Saccharomyces cerevisiae S288C: one gene and its partner. Changing the gene in region 1 together with any one later gene gives a genetic interaction. Each region holds a gene or a part of one and is shown on either strand. Other genes may lie near its edges.

The links. A genetic interaction does not mean that the proteins touch.
Region 2: mutations in ESC1 (region 1) and APQ12 together harm fitness more than expected from each alone (negative genetic interaction), as found in Saccharomyces cerevisiae (5 studies listed by BioGRID).

The regions. Positions count from the first base shown.
Region 1 is NC_001145.3:705,223-708,981, forward strand, and holds the start of ESC1 (Esc1p), read left to right. Parts: upstream 1-1,910; coding exon 1,911-3,759. Other genes in the region: transport protein particle complex II subunit TRS130, read right to left, coding at 1-1,665. UniProt on the Saccharomyces cerevisiae protein: Involved in the clustering of telomeres at the nuclear periphery, forming discrete subcompartments that accumulate a complex of histone-binding silencing factors like SIR4. Required for SIR4-mediated anchoring and partitioning of plasmids.
Region 2 is NC_001141.2:275,723-278,798, reverse strand, and holds APQ12 (Apq12p), read right to left. Parts: upstream 1,077-3,076; coding exon 660-1,076; downstream 1-659. Other genes in the region: TED1 (Ted1p), read right to left, coding at 1-373; GVP36 (Gvp36p), read right to left, coding at 1,294-2,274; protein kinase PKP1, read left to right, coding at 2,507-3,076. UniProt on the Saccharomyces cerevisiae protein: Involved in the regulation of lipid homeostasis in the endoplasmic reticulum, thereby impacting nuclear pore complex biogenesis and localization, and nucleocytoplasmic mRNA transport.

The DNA.
Region 1 (3,759 bases):
TGCCAGATGAACTTTAGAATTCAAAGTTACTTCGAATAGCCCATCTAAAGGATACATTAGATGAATGTTATTTTTCATTTGTAAATCCATGAACTTTTTCCACCAAATTTCCTTGCTATCGTTATCTTTGCATAACTTAAGTATATTGAGAAATGCATTAGTTAAAACGGCCGATGCAGAAACTGATTCCCCATCAATCTGTAAGACGTCTAATTTGGGGCAGTGGCTCAAGGAATCAATGAAAACTTGCAATATTTTCAAACCAATGCTATTCCAGTTCGTTTGAGTATAATATTCGTAACAGGAAAGGAAAAGCGAGACTGCCTCCTCATATTTCTTTCCCTGATAGTAAAGCAAACCTATCTCAATGGATAAAATATCTACTATCCTTTGACGCTTCCCTTCACATTTGTTGAAGAGAGAAAGAATTTCTTTGGTGAGAGTAAGGAAGTTTTCTTGGAAGACAGTTTCATCGACAAAAGTTTCTTTTAATAGATCAAATTTGTATTTAACGTCACTATTAGGGTAGTTTTTGTCCATTAGTCTATAACCACTTGTAGCCATAACACCTTGCACCCAGTTGTCGCGCTTCAACATTAATAACTCAGCTTTGATTTCACACAAGAGAGGATTTGAGACATTCTCAAATTCAAAATATGACAGCATCGAAGTTATAAAATAGTGCTTAAATTCCAATAATCTCACAGACTTTCTATACTCTATTGATATGGATTCAATAAAATTCTTGATTAGTTGAAATGCTCCTACAAAGGCGGTCAACGTCTGGTCCTCTAGTTTTAGAAGTCTTAACCTTCTAATGAAAAAATACTTATGCAATTGAAACTTATCGAGTGTACCTTCTATTATTATGGAGCCCAGTGATTCATCTGATTTAGAAGATGATTCAAAAGGTACCTGAAGTTTTCCATCCGGCATATTCATGTTTCTACGGAGTATTTCTTTTTTGATTTTTTGCAATTCCAGGCTGGCATCTTCCAAAATATTGAATACCACATATAACTCGTACAATTTTTCTCTTGTCAAAAGCTGTTCCTCAAAGTTATTTCCTTTTTGTAAATTGGCCAACGAATGTTGCAAATGTGTCAATCGTTTTTGAAAGATGCTCAGTACGGAAGCCTTAATCTTTTGGCTAAATTGGTTCCAAAACTCCTGCCTTTCTTTGGGAGATCTATAAACCGATCGAACTTCCAAAGTTTGTACATGCGGAAAGTCTTTGCCAAATTTCTCCATTAGGGATACCGATTTGAATAGGTTAGAGTCCACTACTTCAGAATTGGCATACAGTAAAATAATTGGTTTATAAATCATTTTTTCTCCTGTCGATGAAGATACAGATTCCAGATTTGGTAGCCACTGTCTCACAAGAGGCCGTACTTTGGCCCTGTATTGGTCGATAGAGATACAGTTCACTATCAAAAATCTGATAAACGGCTGTTCATCATTAGACTTGTCTGCCTCCCCTCTACCTTCTGGAATCAATTCAATTGGAAGCCTGTTAACCGTTCGTACAGTTCCGTCAAATGCCTTCCAATGTATATTGTCTAACGGTAAAATCTGCTGAAACTCTGGCCTCAGACTCTCAAATAAATCAAACGGGTCAAAATAGCTGACAGGAACCGATCCACAATATATTTCTTTATCCATCTACTATATTAGCATGTAAAAGCAAGTTCACTGGCTATTTTTATTGCTTTTATGCTCACTTTCTTTCAAAACTTCTAACTTGCACTTTTCACCATTTTCATGTTCCGCGAGCTGTTCTTAAGAAGTGAAAACAAAGGAATTTAAAATGCGAGAAAGTCTTTAGTCCTATTGACAAGTATATTGAACACGTTGTAAATTCACCAAGGGGTTAAGTACAAGAACCAATAAATCTATACTGTGAAAATATGTCAAAAAAAAAAGAAACCTTTACTCCAAGGGCAAATAAACTTAAACTGACGACCCCAAGAAGAAAACTGAAAATACTGTCATCTCTCCTTGACGCGGACGAGGATTCCAAAATGAAAGATCAACATGGGTACTCAAGGGTCCACAATGATAAATACAGAGTAGCAAAGCCTACTCAGCACTCGACTTTACATGAATCTATTTCCTCCAGGCGAAGCAGTCATATTCATAATAAATCCCTTCATGAAGATAGTGCGAGGGCATTAAGCTGGGTAGATTCTCTAATTAATAGGGGGAAAAGTATACTTACTACACTAGAAAAGGAAGATGCCTTGTTTGAGCGTAGTCTTGAGGAGGAAAGACAACGTTTTCAGCTTCATGACTCTTTAATGAACAAGTACACAGGAAACAGTAAATCTCATCAGCGACTAATCGATCTCAGGAAGAGCCAATACGGAACGGATACTTCTTTCCAAAATAATGATGAAATTCCCTTAGATAGTTTCATAAGTTCTCCCTTACCGGACGCTGAGGACGAGTCGTCCTCAAATATCGACTCCGATAAGGATGAAGATCTGGAAGGTAAACAATCTTTAATCAAAGATTTCGATCTTGAAAATGATGAATACGAGCTCTCTGAAGAAGAAAAGAATAGTGACGGCCAAAGTAGTCCTTCAATAATGATATTATCAGATGAAGAATATGCAGAGGAAGGAGCACTACAAGATGTATCGAATGATGAATATGCCGAAGAGGAGGGGCAAGTTGAGAGAAAGAATATAGGGCAAGAACAGGCAAATGTAGAGAATGCTACACAAATTAGTTCTTCTGATTCCAGTGAAGGACAGAATTATTCAGAGGGAGTAGAAATGGAATTAGAAGACGACATTGATGTGGAAAGCGATGCTGAAAAAGATGAAAGTCAGGGTGCAGAAGGAACAGAACATTCGGTAGATTTTTCAAAATACATGCAGCCTAGAACAGATAATACTAAGATCCCCGTTATCGAAAAATATGAATCTGATGAGCACAAAGTCCATCAAAGATATTCAGAAGACGGTGCATTTGATTTCGGTTCAGTAAATATTTCAGTTGACGATGAGTCCGAGGATGAAGAAAGTCAAGCTGAAAGTTACTCAGCAAATGCTGAAAATGTGTACCACCATAATGAACATGAACTGGATGATAAGGAACTAATAGAAGATATAGAATCTTCAGATAGTGAATCCCAAAGTGCACAAGAAAGCGAACAAGGAAGTGAAGATGATTTTGAATATAAAATGAAAAACGAAAAAAGCACGTCAGAAGAAACTGAGAATACCAGCGAAAGCAGAGACCAAGGTTTCGCTAAAGATGCTTATACTAAGAACAAAGTGGAACAACAGGAAAATGACGAAGAACCTGAAAAAGATGACATTATCAGAAGCTCTCTAGACAAAAATTTTCACGGAAACAACAACAAAAGTGAATACTCGGAAAATGTTTTGGAGAATGAAACTGATCCTGCTATAGTAGAAAGAGAAAATCAAATTAACGATGTTGAAGGTTATGACGTAACAGGAAAAAGTGTCGAAAGTGATTTGCACGAGCATTCCCCTGATAATTTGTATGATCTCGCCGCAAGGGCTATGCTTCAATTCCAACAAAGTAGAAATTCGAACTGCCCTCAAAAAGAGGAGCAGGTATCCGAATCTTATTTAGGGCACTCAAATGGAAGCAACTTATCGGGCAGGTCTTTAGACGAATCCGAAGAGCAAATACCCCTAAAGGACTTCACAGGTGAAAACAATAATAATTTAAAAACAGACCGAGGTGATCTTTCATCTTCTGTTGAAATAGAGGTTGAAA
Region 2 (3,076 bases), on another chromosome or scaffold:
GCTTCAGTCTCTGCTGCATCATATCATAGATGTGACCAAGATAGTAGTCATTACCGTATGTATCTAATCGGGACACATATGGCGTCTTTGGCCAGATGCCTTTAATCTGAGGATCACCGAAGGCCAAAATATGAATATCCTCATCGTTACCTGCAGAGGCATGGCTACCATGCCATTGCTCTCGAACATCACTGAAGTAATTCTTCACTTTGTCCACAAAAGTCAAATCTTTCTGTAGTGGTGCGTTCTTGTTAGAGCAGTTCCATGAACACTGTTCTGGATGGAAAGATGGATAAGTATAGATGTAAATATTAGCGACGATAGTGAGGAAGGTGGCAAAATATGCAAACTTCTTGACCGCACACCTGAGCATCTTGGGATTCTTGGTACAATGCTGCTGCTGTTGTTTTCAGTTCTTCAATCGCGACCGGATAAATCGCTTGTAATAACTTAGTTTGCAATTTTTCTTAAAACTTCAGAAATCAAGTCACAATTGTAATGAATAATTTGGAAAACACAAGTCACCAAAAATAGCTCAATATTTGATAGTGACTAGGGGAGGAATCTAGCAAAAAAAACGTTCTTTATCTATATGAATATTTAGAAATTAAGATATGTAATTACTTTAAGATGTTCCGAGTAAGCAGAGGCGTTTCGCTCTATTTAAGCAACTGTTCCATTTTCATCTGCGCCAAATGATAAACAGTGTTGATTTCTCTTTCCAGGGCATTAATAAACAGAGTATAAATTTTAAATGCGTAGTATCTATTTGACATGACGAAATTGTAGAAATTCAACAGGTCCACAGTCAAAAACTGCTGCGAACCACGCATATAAATACCGATACATGTTACTACCAACGTCAAATACAGGAATCTTTTGACCAGAGTAATGAAGTTCATCAACAACTTGTAAAAGACATAAAATGTGAAGAAAATAAACAATAGTTGGAAAACTAACGGGTGTGATTGGCTGAACTTAGTAATAGTAGGAATCAACCATTGGATGACGTCAATGGCAGACTTTAGGCATTGTGTTACTACGGATAGTTCGTATTGCGGTTGAGTAGCGTCCATTTTTGGGTTGCTCACTTTGCCCTTTGGTGACTGTTACGAAATTTTTTTCAGTAGCTTTTTCTCTTCCAGTAATTATATTTTCTCTACAAAAAATATACTCACTACAAAAGCCAGCAAATAAATGATAATATTCGTACGACACTAGAGAATATGATATTGTATTAAGTAAATATATATATATAGAGAAGGAGAGAGAAAGACAAGAACAGGGCGGCTATTAAGCGTCGTCTTCGTCATTCATAGAGATAGCTGTCTGTGGCTTTTCTTCTTCTGCAACCTCAGGCTTTGCTTCCGGCTCTTCCGCAAATGAGTTGGATAGGAACTCTTTCATTAGGCCAGCCGAGGTTTCAAAATACTCAGCTTGAGCCTTGGCCAATTCCTTCAAATCTTCACTGAAGTTAGCGTGAGAAATAACCTCCTGCAAGCACACAGTAGCGTCTTCAGTGACTTGAGCAAACTGGTCTTCCAAAGTCTCCATTTGGACTCTCAAGGAAGCTTCCTTTTCTGGCTTCTTGTTGTTTGCCAAGTTAGTTCTTGCCACGTCATATCTTAATCTCATGGAATGGACATCCTTGCGGCACTTATCGGCCTTACCGATCTCAAAAGAGAGCCTTTCCCTCAAATTTTTATTGAATTTGGTTTGAATCAAGGTATCTTGTTGAATTCTAGCTTGAGCAATCTTAGCCTGCACATCACTGAATTGCAAGAGTGCCGAAGCCAAGGGTTGTTCCTCGGTGGGGAACATCTTGTTCAAACATTCACTGGAGTTCAAAGCCACTTTACTGAGGGCGTAGTTCAACGTCTTGGGTTCTTTGATGGGGCCTGGAGCAACTAAGATGTTTTGTGCCTCAGACGCAGATGTAGCATGAGTCAACTCTGTCAACTTGGAAGCCACGCTTCTTGAAAACTCGTTGACGGATTCGTTGATGTATTTAGGGTAATCGTACGATCCGTTTTCGTAGATAGCAGTTACACCCAAGAAGTGGTTGTAAATCAGTTTGATGGTGTCAACCTTATCTTCCAGCTCTGTGTACTCTCTTGGCAATTGGGAGATGTCCGTCACCTGGCCCAAACGTTCCTGGACCATTCTTTGGGTGGATTGCGCCAAACTGGGCAATTCCTGGGTTTTTTCGGAAACACTTGTGGATATTTCCTGTAATTTCTTGCTCAAAGAGCTGGCGAAGGCATTAAACGACATTGATGACTATGATTTGTTGCTTATTCCACTCCTCTGCCTACAAATCATATAGGTTATAGGTGAAGAAGGTTGCAATTTTCTTGTTTTTGACATCCCGATTAATCCACCGCTCGCTTCTCACGGTAATAAGGGAAAATGTCTGCCAGTATGAAGCAAACAACATTAAACTGAGAACATTGGTGAGTCAAGACCATAACTGGAAGACGTGGTATCAAGACGCCTTCACGGTAGTATGTGGAAGATTATGCGTTCATGGAAATGTGGGGGAATGCGCTGGGCACATCGCCAGCGACCCTCACACGAGCTGCTGTCGCAACTGTCGTTCGACCAGCATTACAAGATTAGGTCGAACATTGAGCTGCTGATACAGGACTACGCTAGTAAACCAATTGCGCCCCTAAACTACGAGTATTTCCTGCAATACAGGCCGCCGCTGACCAAGAAGGAGGAGTACATGCTGACGATCAAGACAATCAACCTGTTGCTTTCATTGACGTGTAAACGGCTTAATGCCATTCAGAGGCTACCGTATAATGCGGTAATCAACCCTCATATTGAGAGAACCAACTCTTTGTATTTGAAAAGCTTGCAAACGTTGCTATCAATCGCATACCCGTACGAGTTGCACAATCCTCCCAAGATACAGGCCAAGTTCACAGAACTGCTGGACGACCACGAGGACGCCATTGTGGTATTGGCAAAAGGTCTTCAGGAAATCCAATCGTGTTACCCAAAGTTTCAAATTTCGCAGTTCTTGAACTTCCACCTGAAGGAGAGAATCACGATGAAGCTGCTTGTGACG